3 linked regions of the Xenopus tropicalis genome follow. The protein of the gene in region 2 interacts with the protein of the main gene of each other region in a biochemical or structural test. Links are inferred from orthologs where the notes say so. Each region holds a gene or a part of one and is shown on either strand. Other genes may lie near its edges.

What was found. The genes of interacting proteins can lie anywhere in the genome.
Region 1: the proteins of patj (region 2) and cldn1 form a complex in vitro, tested with the Homo sapiens proteins (2 studies listed by BioGRID and IntAct, with this or other methods). The link is inferred for Xenopus tropicalis from reciprocal best matches to the Homo sapiens genes PATJ and CLDN1.
Region 3: the proteins of patj (region 2) and tanc1 interact in a test that uses a peptide from one of them, tested with the Homo sapiens proteins (2 studies listed by IntAct, with this or other methods). The link is inferred for Xenopus tropicalis from reciprocal best matches to the Homo sapiens genes PATJ and TANC1.

The regions. Positions count from the first base shown.
Region 1 is NC_030681.2:104,248,183-104,253,745, forward strand, and holds the start of cldn1 (claudin-1), read right to left. Parts: upstream 3,193-5,563; 5' UTR 3,042-3,192; coding exon 2,819-3,041; intron 1-2,818.
Region 2 is NC_030680.2:85,651,926-85,656,692, forward strand, and holds part of patj (inaD-like protein), read right to left. Parts: intron 4,365-4,767; coding exon 4,278-4,364; intron 3,159-4,277; coding exon 3,041-3,158; intron 2,210-3,040; coding exon 2,172-2,209; intron 2,083-2,171; coding exon 1,960-2,082; intron 1,237-1,959; coding exon 1,132-1,236; intron 1-1,131.
Region 3 is NC_030685.2:73,466,867-73,472,074, forward strand, and holds the start of tanc1 (protein TANC1), read right to left. Parts: upstream 3,193-5,208; 5' UTR 2,843-3,192; intron 478-2,842; 5' UTR 148-477; intron 1-147. UniProt on the Homo sapiens protein: May be a scaffold component in the postsynaptic density.

The DNA.
Region 1 (5,563 bases), on a different chromosome or scaffold from region 2:
CTATAGTTTATGACCAAACTGCAGGACAGTAATGTATTTCAAGACAACTTTGATTTGATTAGAAACTAAGCTGTTACAAATGTCTGTTTCACACAAGGGAGGAGGGCTAATTTGTGTAAAGCATGCAGCCTTCAGGGCAAATGTTTTGGCTGGTTTGATCTTGTCTGAGCAGCACAAATTTGTGAGAACCTGCTTGTTTTGTGTCTTGCAGCTACTCACCTATACAAGAATGAGACTGAGCAATTAAAGCAGGGATTGGTCTTCTTTACATGTTCCAAAATGGTTTTTTGAATGAGTTCAGTAGAACATTACATTTGTTCCTCAGTATAACCTAACTTGCTTTACAGCTCCCTTCTTGTTATAAAATGTTTGAATATTGGTTCTTAATAAATAAAGAATAATAATAAAATAATATGCAATGTCAGCCCTAATGCAGACTAATGATAGCACCTTAGATCCATTGCAGAGTCCTGTGCTTCTACCAGGGCAGGAAGATTTGCAAGAGACAAGGACTGTTCAGTTCCTTAAGCAATGTCTTTTAATAATTAAGACTTTTGCTTTAACTGTCAGGCTATTCTGCTTACTTACAACAGCTACATATTCCTGAAACATTAACCAGGCATAAACATTTGTTCTCATCCAGGCCAAATGCATTTGGCACATTGGCATTGTCAGAGAAAGTTGCTTTCTTATTAGTATTAAAAGGACCAGTGTTTGGGATTAAGTGTAGATGTCCTCAGTTGATTTTGAGGTTACAAGTCTCCTTTATGGTTGTGTGTCTTAGTTTTACTAACTAATTGTTATCTGTATTGTCCAACATATACTGATAAAATCATATTAAATAATAATAAAAAACATAAATGAAAGATTATTGTATAAAGAATGATCAAATATTTTTGGATGCTACACAGGGGTATCAGTGTATTATAAGCAGGACACACCTTAACTGATTGTATTATGAAGGAATCTTGCAGGAGGGGCTGCTTGTTCTCTGCTTTGTGAACTTAGAATAACTGGTGAACTATCAACATCTAAGAAACATAAGAAAAAGAATCCTGCCCCCCATATGGGCTCCCAGTCTTTGAGTTATCCAAAAACAACATTCCCTTAGGAAGGATGTTATCCTTTGTGCAAAGAAAAATACCTAACTCTAGCCCTTTATAAACAATACTAGGGTGTCCAGCAAGGAGGCAGCTATTTTCATATATAATTCTCTTGTGTTCTCAAGTGGATCCTTTTAACCCATTTACAACTGCCACACAGGGTCATTCTGTTCTGAAAAATGTTCATAAAACCTGAACATGGCCTCAAGCTGTTCATGGACACTACAAATGAAGCATGTACTCTGGCAGTATTAAAACAAAATATGATACCATGCAGCTGCTGGAAATAGCAACTCCCAACATCCTCTATTGTTTGCATGCTATTAGAGGATACTGGGAGTTATGATTCACTAGAAGGTTCAGCACTCCTGTTTTTTAATACATCACAAAACAAATCTTCAGGAGTTCTGTAACTTGAGGCATTCTTCATTTCATGGTTAGTGTTATGGACTATTTCATATAACACCAGGTACCTTCTCTTTGGACAACCTAATATACTTATGTTCAATGTTTTCCATAGCCAGATGGCTGTCATGTCACGTTTAGACTATTTCATATAAAACCAGGTACCTAACTGTGGTCAACCCAATAAACCCAATAAATCCAATAAATCGCAATGAAATAAGCAGGCTGCTTATCAATGAGCCATCAATAGAAGGTGATCTTGCCAAGCCTAATAGCATTTCTACCTCGAAACAAATGTGTTTTACTTATTGACTTAGAATTCATGATTTTCAGCAGGCTACAATTATTTTGTCATATTACCAGCAAGTTAAGATAAACACCATGCCAATGTATTATAATAATATTTAAATTGAAGCTGGTATTTTATAACACCAACATAAACTTGTCATTTCATTGGTAATAACTGGATGATTCGTTGTCAAAGGTGTAGTGGCACTTAGAGTATAATTACACATACTCTATCCATCAATTTTTATAGCTCAGTTTCTCTGTTGTCATCAAAAATTCTTGTTTCAAATGTAAAGTAGTGGACTATCAACAAAGAAGGGAATGTAAAAGGACAAAGGCCTGGACCAAACATATCAGAGCATGTATAAATTGATATACAGGTATTGGACCCCTTATCCGGAAACCCATTATCCAGAAATATCTGAATTACGGAAAGGCCATCTCCCATAGACTCCACTTTAATCAAATAATTCCCATTTTTATAAATGGTTTCCCTTTTTCTCTGTAATAATAGAACAGAACCTTGTACTAGATCCCAACTAAGATATGATGAATCCTAGTTGGAGCCAAAACAATCCTATTGGGGTTAATTACTGTTTAAATAATTTTTTCAGTAGACTTAATGTAGAAGATCTGAATTACAGACAGACCCCTTATCCAGAAAACCCCAGGTCCCAAGCATTCTGTATAACGGGTCCCCTACCTGTATATATATATAGAGAGAGAGATAGAGAGAGAGAAAGAGAGAGAGAGAAAGAGAGAGAGGGAGAGATTTTGAAAGACAGTGCACACGCCCAGGTGCTGCGGCCCAGGTGCTGCCACAAAAATAATATCAGCATGTAGAGCACTCATGTACCTAAAATTATCTGCGTTCAATTTGTGCACATAATTTAAGTCCAATGAGTGCTCTGTGTTCTACATGCTTATATATATATATATATATATGCACACATACTTTTGAGCATTTAAGATAGCCATAGAAATATATATTATCAAATGAAATTAAAAAAAAATCTACTTACTGTCCAGCTTCAGCAGCGAGTCATAGGTTTTGCACTGCATCTGCCCTGTGCTCTGCATTACACAAGACATCCAGAGTCCTTCATAGGTGATCTGTGCTGTGATAATGGCATCCCCAGCAAACGATGACATTTTCCATTGAGGGATTGCAATACATACTATAAACCCAATCCAGCCCAGACAAGCTAAGGCGAATCCTAAAAGTTGCAAGCCTGCGTTGGCCATCCTTTTGAGTGGATAAAATAAGTTACCACTTGGCCACCCTCTGAAGCAGGAGCTTGTCCGCTCTTCTGTAGTCTAAGGAGGACCTTTAAGTAAATGTAGACTGAAAATTTCTCAAGTCAGAAAAAAGTGGAGAAGGAAGAGTTCATCAGTGGTCGTCCAGGTCTATCTTCTAACTGAAAACTTCTGCTTATCTGCCTTATTTAAAGTGACTTGAGTTCTCCTCCCAGTGGCAGTCCTTAGAATTGCATTGGCTCAGCAGGATAATCATTTGCAATGAAAGACTCATCACCACCTCCCACCACATTTGTGACACCACAAATGTTTTTTTCTGCTTGCTTTGACTGCAGGGGAGTTAAAAGCAAAGCTGATTCCAGCAATGTAGTCATTGTTTTGTCCTCATCCATAATACATATTTTTTAAGCCAGGTGTTTTTCACCAAGCTATAGAACAGCCATAGAATTTGCAAGAGCTTTAAACAATGCAGTGGAAAAATAAATGAATCAGACACATTAAGAGTAATGGTTGCTGACAAACTGTCTCATTACAGACTTTGTAACTCAGTTGCGGTCAGTGTCAGAGGTTTTAGCCCTGTGTGTTTGGGCTAATAAAAGACATGTTAGGCAAAACATCATAACAAATATTTCAGGCTAAGACTTTTTTTATAAACACAAGAGAAAATTGTTAATTACAAAATACTTAACTGTTACCCAGGACTTGTATCTGGGGGCAGTGCTTGGTGGGTGCAAGGCAGCCCTGGCGCTCTTTATATCATATGTGATGACAAGCAAGTTAGGGGGTGGGTTAAGGAAAACCTACAAGCTTCCCCTAGCCCACCCCTTATAAATGCAGCACTGTATTCATTGGGAAAACATAGGTCCTTGTGTTCCATTTGGGCGATCATGACAAAGGCGGTGTGCACAATGCAAAAACATGGCTGCTTGTTCCTGCTTTTTTGCACATTGTGCCCTGATCCCCAGTTTGTAAATGTATTTGTGCAATCCAGAAAGGTACCTGCTTCCATATATGCTCCTGAAATTACTATCAGCAAGGTTGCAGCAATAGTTGCAATTTCCTTGTATTAAATGCATTAAATGCTAATGCTTTTATTAACTTCATACGCAGGTGATACATTCAAACACAAATCCAGGGAACATAATTTCCAAAAATGCCCACTAATTTGTATCTATTGGTGCATCATGAGCAAGTTGAGGTAGGTGCAAGTTAGAGGGGTAGTTCAATCAAACCACTGCCTGGTTCCTAAGGTAATTTATATTCTAGCAACCAGATAGCTGCTAAAATTCGAAACTGGAATGCTGCTAAACATAATAAACTGCGAAAACACTGCATTGTGAGTAAAAATCATGGCAACCAGGGCCAGAACCAGGGAAAGGCAGATGAGGCAGGTGCCTAAGGCCCACAGAACGGGGGGGGGGGGGGGGGGGGGGTTTAGGCATGTACCCCTCCCTTCTGTCTACCCCTAGTTCTGCCTCCTACCAGCTTATCACTATAGCTTATTGAATCACCTTCTACTCATCACCACAGGGGGATCTCAACTTGCCCATCACTCCTACTTGTTTCCTCCCCCCTCATCACTGCATCGCGCAACTACAGAGGGAATGTCAGGGTTTGATCAAGGGTGGGGCTTGCCTTGGGTGCCTAATACCCTTGGCCCAGCACTGATGGCAGCTAGTGATGAGCCAGGCATTGGTTCGCGTAGAATTTCTGCGTTTCGTGGACTTTTTCATGAAACGGGCGCAAAATTTCTCATAAAAAAAAAATCACACATGCGCGTCACAAAAAATGATTGCGCGTTGAATTGTTTTGCCACTTTTTATTTTTTTTTATTCTGGCGAAGTGAAATGGGACAGATTCACTCAGCACTAATGGCGGCTACCATTTTAATTTTGCACTTTGCACATTGCACTGCATTAGTAAATCACCCTCTTTATATGTTAATTTCTCTACATTAACATATAGTACTTGAATATCTGAAACTGTATCTGTTTTGTTCTTCAGCCAGCAAATTGTCTGAACAGCCAGCACATTGTCTGAACATGATCCTAGCTTTCTAATGTAAGACTACTCTGTCAAACCTTCAGCAGTAAAGTTCTTCAAACATTTATATATTTACAGTGATATTTGCAGCTGCACTGTTCACAGCTACATTGTTCCTTCATTCACATTGGCCCCTCTGTAAGAAAAATTTTCTGCTACTAATTTCTCTGCATACTGTATGTACAACAGGAGCATGGTGCTTTGTTGTAAATCAACATCACTTCCAGCATATAGTAGTGGGGCTTAGAGTGTAAAAACAGTAAGCATTGACAGAGAAAACTTGTGTGTTGATATCACATAGCTCTGCTCACTGGCGGACGGTGGCATTTTTCAACAGAAGGCTCATACATCATGGTACACCCCTGCACTTCATGTTTATGGAAAAATGTTTGGCAATAATTTAGTGAGCCATCAGATCACAGCTGTAATCCCCTGTACCTTAAAAGAAATGGCTCCATTAGCATAAA
Region 2 (4,767 bases):
AATTACCTAACCATTCACAACAGCTTGTATTGAAGTTGTGTAACTTGATAAGGAATTAAATTACTGACATGACATGTCACAATTATAAAGCTGGTAACACTATTTGTTCTCAGTTTTGGTCCAGGAATATAAGGTAGAAAACATTTTTTGTCTGTAATTAGACATGTATAATTCCAGTCAATTGAAATTCTGACTGGGTGGTCAACACAATGTAGTTGAAGGCACTTATAGATAAGAGAAAAGAGATGTTTTAAAAATATTTGTTGCATTGTCTGGGCAGGAAAGGTAGCTCTTTTTTTTTTTGTAAAATCATTTAAACAGGTTTATTGTTTACTGCTATTTGCAAAGGTAAGGGATATGTAAAATGTTCTCAAGGGATCGGTTTTATTAAATATCAAACAAAAAAGTTAACACTGTAAGCCATGGCAGTCCAGTCAAATTTGACTAATATAATCACATTAATAAAGCCAGAAGCCAACTATTATAGGAACGATGATTCATAATTTCCAGTATCCTGCAATTTCAGATTAAGGCAGAAAACTTGTAAATGTACTTACCATATGTGAAACAGAGTGATTTTGTACATTTTGTTAAGTAACATGGAGTGCCCTCCTAGAATGCACTTACATGTGCAGTGAGCTCTGCTGCCAGTTGGAGTTAGGCTGATGCCACACCAGGCGTAGGGCTGATTTTTTCGGCAAGCGGAAAAAATCAGCCCTACGCCTGGTGTGGCATCAGCCTTAGTCTCTACAGAATGACAGTTATCAATGTCTCACAGCTGAAACATCTGAGGCTTAAGACTAATGCCACACGAGGCGTAGGGCGGATATTTTCGGCAAGCGGAAAAGCGCTTGCTGAAAATTCCGCCCTACGCCTCCTACATGTGCCTGCACCCGAATGAATGAGATACGCTCGGGTGCAGGCACATGTAGCCGATATGCGCATAAAAACACGAGACTTTGCATTATATATATATGGGCTACATGTGCCTGCACCCGAGCGTATCTCATTCATTCGGGTGCAGGCACATGTAGGAGGCATAGGGCGGAATTTTCAGCAAGCTCTTTTCCGCTTTCCGAAAATATCCGCCCTACGCCTCGTCTGGCATTAGCCTTACATTTATTACCATACCTGCAAAACAATGGTTCCAAATGCATGCTTCAGGATATTAACCACTTCTGCATGTGACAGCCCATCCACTGGTTGCTGGTTAATGCTGACAAGCCGATCCCCAACCTATACCCCACAAGCCCATGATAAAACATACAGGTCAGGATTAATTTCAAAAGATGGTTATTAAATATAATGCAGTACTGAATATTTTCTTTACTTTGCAATTTTGAGAATAGAAAATATTGCAAGATTAAGTAAGTACAAATTGAGAATTAACAGAATTTTGTTAAATGACAAATAAAAGGGCAGATTGGCACAATTCACTACTATAAACTTTGCCTCTACAACAAGCTGCTTAAATGTACAAGCAAAAAACGTCCTTACAGTAATATCTTCTATGGAAACAGCATAATATATAGATTGTAAGCTCTAAGGGGCAGGGACCTCCATTCTCTTGTGTCTTTGACTCTTAACTTATTGCAACTATATCTTTTATTTATTGTTAAACTTTATCTAATTTATTATTATCTTAATAACCCCGTTTGTATTAATGTATTCTACTTTACAGCGCTGCGTACAGTAGCGCTTTATAAATAAAGATATACATACATAATTCTAACATAGGCACTTGGTTTTTATAGGTCATTGCCATGTTTACCAATAAAACAAAGTATGATGAGAATGGGGCATAATTTGGTTTTCCTTCATTATGGTTAAAGGTCAATGAGAGAAGTAAAACATGTAGAACCATCTCACCATAATGTGCTTTTATTAAGACAAAATATAATTTGCTTATGCGTCATTACTGTTCGTAAAAGTCACATGGTGATAAAAACAGATACTTACTTTTAATTTGTGTGTCCGTGCTGCTACACCACTAGCTTGGATCATAGCAATGAAAACTGGGATATCTCCCAATGGGCTGCCTTTCCCTCCTGCGATACTGATCCCAAGAGCATCATAAGGGCCCTAACAAAGTGTGAAAATGGAAAGGTATTAAGTCATTGTATATTTCCCTCCAACTCTTATTATAGCAAGTGTAGTTTTTCTTTACTTACTCTATTAATTTCTACAGTCCGTGGCTCCAAGTCTGTGCCTGTATTTAAAGGGGATAGATATCTTAAATACTTATTCATTGAAAAAGTAAAAGTGAAGTGCTAAATTTAAAGGTAAAGCAAAAATAAAAAAACAAAACAAAACAAAGCACTACAATAGAAAGACAAATACAATAGGTGACCCCTGAAAGGGGCTGTCTCTAGATATTTGCTCTGAAGACATATTTCTCCTTCCCACAAGTTATCTGGATTACAGCCATATATAATACTATATTATTCTCTTCTGCAACACTGCCATGCTGTATATCACACAAGTAAATAGAGAACAACACATTAAAAAGGAAAACAAATGAAGGTGAGACATCACCCTGGTTCAGTAACTGCATTTCCATGTAGTCTTGACTGCAGTTCAGTTCAGAATACTGGTACTCAGAGTAAGGAATGTATTTGCTTATACTGGCTCCACCATGTATTTGTTTATTTAATTGTCCATTAGCAAAATGGTTGTAAAAATAAAATGAAATGGTAACAAAATATTAGGAAAGACAAACAAGCAATGGTCGTATGGTCCTACTAATCAATCACAGTACTGCGTACACAAATTTATTTCAGACACTCTGAATGCTAAACCTTTAGAATAGTAGTTAGGGCACAGCGAGCACAGAGAGACAGTAAGACTGAATGACCATTTACTGACTCAAAAATTATACCCAAGACTTTCTGATGATTTTAAAGTATATCTGTAGTATTCTTTGTCTGCTTTATCTTTTCAGAACCATTCCTTCTCTCTTTAATGCCACATATGTCACAGGCACAATAACTCCAAGCCACTGTAAAAAGGTAATAGAATTGTAGTACTGCACAGTATTTACCAGAATGCCTTTGTGATGAGTCTGCAGAGGATTTCTTGGAGCTAGCATAGTCTTGCATGCTGGAAATAACTGGAGTTAATGATGGAGGAAGAACACCATGGGAACTCATTTGGTTGATCTAGAGTGCAATTCAGTAATATGTTCTTCAGTTTAAATGGTACAAACAGACATTACATCCATGCATTACTTAAGAGGCAATAAAAATATTTTTTATATTTCTTTAGGTGAAATTTCCCCAAGTGGCTGCAAGTTACATTTATACCACAAATGGATACACATTTTGAATTAACCCGTAAACTAGCATATAATATAATTTATAACACAACAAATAATACTAGTTGTTAAAATAAAATCTGGCTAGGTTAATGAGAATAAATACACATTATTTCCTTCTACTAACACAATTATTGTGTTTATTATAGGCTTGCATATTATCTGACCTACATCTTGCTTTTTCTCACTTACTCTTTGTATGTCTCTAGAAATCTAGAACAGTTACTTGCAAAAAGTTTTAAACAATGAACAACCAGATTATTTAGGCTTGTTAGCAGTGTATCCTCTGGCTTCTCTGCATTACAAGTCTCTATTAATATTATGTTTTTAGCTATTTTAGGAATCTTTGAAAGTGCCTATTATTTTAATATCTGCCTTTTGCCTTTCTTTGGTCTGAAATACTTAGTGTTCTAGTTCAGAAACAGTGAAAGAGCTATAGACTGGGAAACTCAAGAATGAAAAGTACTGCTACAAATAAATACCCATTTTTCAAACAAGGCTAGTTGCTCTACAATTAGTTGTTACACTATTTTGGGCCAATATACAGCCCAAAAAGCCAATACAGTCAACGGGTCTTCTGTGTGGATTCTTATATTGAGTGAAAAAAAAATGACTTTTAGATCTAATAAAGAATTACCTGTTACTTACAATACAGATACAGTTGTACGGTTTCACAGGTTATACAATAAAGCACTTAAATAAATATACAGAAACTACATTGCTGCTTTTGTACTATATTGTACGCTGCCATAAAAGGCTCACAAAATAACAGAACTACCTTTTTTTTACACTGTTAACCTGATACTGTATTCTGGTCAGACATTCTTTAAATTACCTGGGGAATATGGTGAACATTCCATTGATATATAGTATTGCAGTATCTGACTCCAGATTATGAATCACAAAAATATATTTTATATCAATCATGAATACATAAAGAGGAGGGGGAGAATCAGTAACCGACCTGACTGGCTTCAAAGGTTTTTTTGGATGCAAGCCAAGATCCAACTCGAAGTCTTCCAATCTCTAGATGTACAAGTCCTTGAGCACACTTGAGATAAAACAGGAAATTCTTTTAAAATCAGTGCAATGGAATTTTCTCACAGAAAGGTATAGACTTTATTCAAACATTAACTATTAACCCTAACTATATCATTTAAATCACAAGTGGTTTACAGAATTAGAACTCCAAACTCCTTAAAAACGACTTCCCTTAATTCTTAACGAATAGAATAAGCAGTCTCACAGACAGTTGCACAGCAACAATTATGCTACAATACACAATTACATTAATTTCCAGTCAAAAAGAAGGTGCCCATATGTGGGCCTGCTATTCAGTCAAGAGTGGGTAAGAGTTATAAAGCAGGCTGGAAAATTCTTTCAACCAAGGACCATGGTTGTAGTCTGTGTAGTCTGTGTAGACTTTGGTAATGAAACCAAGGAAATAGCTATTT
Region 3 (5,208 bases), on a different chromosome or scaffold from region 2:
AGTTGAACTAAACTTTTCAAAATTGCGGAAAGCCCTCAGCAGAATAATACACGTTTAACAACTAAGTTCCTGGATCTGTAGGCCAGCAACACACTTCAGGCCAGACAGTCAGCGATGGGTTAAACTGTGCCTGCCGGCTGTGCTTACCTCAGGTTGCAGTCAAGCAGATGATTCAGGTGAGCAGCAGGGAGCTGGCGAGAAGGTTACACAGAAGGAGCGGTGGAACTAGAGCTCTGCCAGGACATGTTCCTTTCCCTCTGCCATTCCAAGGTGCCGGGCAGCCAATACAGCCTTGGGGAGCAGCTTCTTGATCCACACACACACCTTGATTCTGACTCGGATATATACACACCCACGGGCCCTTTGCTTTGGTCCTGTCACGCTTATTGCACACTGTTTGGGCACTGGATCTCCAAGCTCTTATAGCAGCACACTGCCCAGCCTGGAGGCAACAGACCGATGGGAGGAGGTGCAATTCTATTAAAGAAAATGATAAAATTGCAGCGAGTTAATTGCATTTACTAATGAGACATTAACATGAGCACTGATAAATGCAGATATCCTGGTTTGCTCCTTGCCAATTAGTGGAGGAAAAGTTGGTGTAAGGGAAAAGATACAAAAAGGAGAATGGTGAATCTGCTCTAATGCCTCATTAGTAAGGGTAAATTGCCCTTGCGCAATAATAAAAAAATATCTCCAGGAAAGTTATCCTGACAGCCCCCAGACACCCCTACCCCTTTCCGTATATAATAGGTGTAATGTTGGTGCCACCCACCCACTGTCCCTTCCACCCATATGCCCTGCTGGATTTCTCCCCTGCCTACCTACCTGCCAATGCTATCAGTACTTATCCCCATAACTCCCTGCCCACACAGTTATTTCTCCCCTACCTACCTACCCATGCTATCAGTACTTATCCCCATAACTCCCTGCCCACACAGTTATTTCTCCCCTACCTACCTACCTGCCCATGCTATCAGTACTTATCCCCATAACTCCCTGCCCACACAGTTATTTCTCCCCTACCTACCTACCTGCCCATGCTATCAGTACTTATCCCCATAACTCCCTGCCCACACAGTTATTTCTCCCCTGCCCACCTACCTGCCCATGCTATCAGTACTTATCCCCATAACTCCCTGCCCACACAGTTATTTCCCCCCTACCTACCTACCTGCCCATGCTATCAGTACTTATCCCCATAACTCCCTGCCCACAGTTATTTCTCCCCTACCTACCTACCTGCCCATGCTATCAGTACTTATCCCCATAACTCCCTGCCCACACAGTTATTTCCCCCCTACCTACCTACCTACCTATGCTATCAGTACTTATCCCCATAACTCCCTGCCCACACAGTTATTTCCCCCCTACCTACCTACCTACCTATGCTATCAGTACTTATCCCCATAACTCCCTGCCCACACAGTTATTTCCCCCCTACCTACCTACCTATGCTATCAGTACTTATCCCCATAACTCCCTGCCCCCACAGTTATTCCCCCCCTACCTACCTGCCCATGCTATCAGTACTTATCCCCATAACTCCCTGCCCACACAGTTATTTCTCCCTACCTACCTGCCCATGCTATCAGTACTTATCCCCATAACTCCCTGCCCACACAGTTATTTCTCCCTACCTACCTACCTGCCCATGCTATCAGTACTTATCCCCATAACTCCCTGCCCACACAGTTATTTCTCCCTACCTACCTGCCCATGCTATCAGTACTTATCCCCATAACTCCCTGCCCACACAGTTATTTCTCCCTACCTACCTACCTACCTATGCTATCAGTACTTATCCCCATAACTCCCTGCCCACACAGTTATTTCCCCCCTACCTACCTACCTACCTACCTACCTATGCTATCAGTACTTATCCCCATAACTCCCTGCCCACACAGTTATTTCCCCCCTACCTACCTACCTATGCTATCAGTACTTATCCCCATAACTCCCTGCCCCCACAGTTATTCCCCCCCTACCTACCTGCCCATGCTATCAGTACTTATCCCCATAACTCCCTGCCCCCACAGTTATTCCCCTCCTACCTACCTGCCCATGCTATCAGTACTTATCCCCATAACTCCCTGCCCACACAGTTATTTCTCCCTACCTACCTACCTGCCCATGCTATCAGTACTTATCCCCATAACTCCCTGCCCACACAGTTATTTCTCCCTACCTACCTACCTGCCCATGCTATCAGTACTTATCCCCATAACTCCCTGCCCACACAGTTATTTCTCCCTACCTACCTACCTGCCCATGCTATCAGTACTTATCCCCATAACTCCCTGCCCACACAGTTATTTCCCCCTACCTACCTGCCCATGCTATCAGTACTTATCCCCATAACTCCCTGCCCACACAGTTATTTCCCCCTACCTACCTGCCCATGCTATCAGTACTTATCCCCATAACTCCCTGCCCACACAGTTATTTCTCCCCTACCTACCTACCTGCCCATGCTATCAGTACTTATCCCCATAACTCCCTGCCCACACAGTTATTTCCCCCTACCTACCTGCCCATGCTATCAGTACTTATCCCCATAACTCCCTGCCCACACAGTTATTTCTCCCCTGCCCACACTTCCCCTTCTCCTACCGACACTATTACGTATCCTTATCCCCTACTTACACTGCCATCAATTGCCCCTCACCTTTCCCTTCCCACAATTCTGCCCTCCCTACAGTATTACCCAACTTTCCCGGCCATTTATACTCACTTTTCGCGTACTTTCCCTGCCTACATTCTGACTGCTCCCGTACCTTCCCCTGCCTTCTATTTCTCCCCTGCCCCACAGTGGCAGCAGCAAATCATCACTTTTTCTTACCTTTCCTTCCTAACTTTCTACCCTCTCCCGCCGCCACGACAGTCGGCTCTTTTCGTGTCCCTATACTCCGGACTTCTCTCCGGTGCCGCTATTCCTCCTCCTTAGGCTCCTGGTCTCCCTCCCTCCCAGCGCACAGCAGCTAATCCCGCCGGATTCAGCCCGTCTCCCTCCGGCAGAACTGTCCCACCAGGCGGCTTTCAGAGAGCGCAACTCTCCCACCAGCGCACCGCCTCCTGCAGTACCAACAGCAACCATAGGTGGCGCATCCAGCTATCGGGCACAGCCCAGAGCTAAGGGTAGAGCTAAAGGCAGAGTGAAAGGCAGAGGTGCCTGAGGGGGGAGTCGGTGGGAGCTGTTTGGATAAGTAAATATTACACTGTGACAGTGACAGAACTTCCCCCGGGGGAAACAGCAGCTTTATGGGAAGCGGAACTTAAAATGACTCCCATTTGCATGTCTTGTATCAGATGCCAAAGCTCTGAGAGCTACACCCGAACAAGGAAAGGCCAGTGCAGCACAATCTGCTTCCCCACCTCTCAGGAATCAGCACAAAATATTATATTATACTCCTTCATAGGAGAGTTTACTTTAAAACAAATTCTGACTACTCTGTCCCTGGATGCACAGGATATGTAATGCCATTGTCATTTTGTTTTACATTTCTGAATACAACATGCATCAAGCTAACATTTCATTCAAGGTAAACTGCTGCTGTACAATAGACAAATTGGTTCCCAGTGTGCCAGGTCCTCCTATGGGCTGCTTAGGTCAATGGCTTGGCTTGGGTCAGTTGGACCTGTTGCTTTAGTTCCTGTGCCTGCCCTTATAATAGGATCCCTCCCTGTCACTGATGCCAGCAATAGGGATCTCCATGATACTGGTTGCGGTAAAGCTGAGGAATTTGGGCCAATGCTGACCATCACTAGGTTGCATCATGGTAAATTAGGTTTATTCACTACAACTGGATAGAGGAGCGGCTCCTGGACCTCATTTCTTGCCACAGGTTCTAGAGCCCTGATCCACTCCACTTCCAGTTATGGTAACTATAAGTTTCCTTCTAGAAGTCACGGGAATTAGACAACAAAAGCCAATAGGGTTGATTCACTAAAGTGCGTTAATTTTTATCACATGCTTTTTTGCGTTAAAATAGACACAAAAATGAACACGCAATTCGCTACAATAGTATCGCGTGCATTAAGTCGCATATCGCATGCGTTAAATTTCGCGCTACCGCATGCGTTAATTTGCAAGCAGAAATAAATACTAACGCATGATTCACAAACACTGAGACACGCTAAATATCGCATTAGTCTGTGCGAAAATTAACACCTACTTGAGGCAGGCGGTAATTATAGAAAAGTACAGTTAATGAGCTTTTGGCAACACAATATGGACTTTGCAGTGAGATTTATTCAAGTCTGTGTTGGCCCCAGAGTGATGCAGCCGCCAGTTTGCAGGGAAATGGGCATTTTCAGTACAGTAATTTTCCGAAAGTATTGGCATGTACGGCTAACATGGCGTGCGTTTTTTCACACGCGGCAACTATTTATACGCGGTGCGTTGATTAGCGCTCGTTCCATCAAATACTGCATGAAAATAGTCTTCGTGACTAAAATAACGCAAGCAGTATCGCGCGTAAATTAGCGCAAATATCCTTTTAGTGAATCGTGCGCTAAGACGCGAAAAATTAGACGCGATAACATTTTTTATGCATGCTATAAATAACGCATGTTTTAACGCACTTTAGTGAATCAGCCCTAATGGGTGATGCTTTGTCCTTGGTTGGAAGTATAGTTCCTAGTATTATCCAAGAATGAGAAGAATTAGATTGCAAGCTCTTGTATCCACAAGCCGGCGCTGGCTCAATTCCAAGCAGATTTTGGTCAAAATTAATTTAACATCTGTAGGGCTAGTTACATTCATTTTGTCTACTATTATTTCATAATAGGTGACATTTTCTGTGGAAAAGTCTGCTTTTGACACAGGGCAGAAACCATATCCCTCTCTGGGTATGTACCCAATAGGCAAATTACATTTATTCCTATGCAACAAACTCATTCAAAAATGCAAATAATGTCTCTGATTGTTAAGCTTTGGGTGCACTTTCGTTGGGCCTCTTTAAAGTGCTTTAAAATATGTGTTTATGCATGCTTTTAGGAGTCTGGAGTAACTTCAATACAACAGCTACAACAGCAGTTAAAAATAAATATACAAATCCCTGTCAGATATAGAATATACACTGACTTGTGTCACAAACATTTCATATAAAAATAAGTTAGTGAAAATAATACAACAAAAGGATTGTAGATTTGACATAAATGTTACACCACACAGACAACATCAGATGGACACCCTATAGTGCAGTG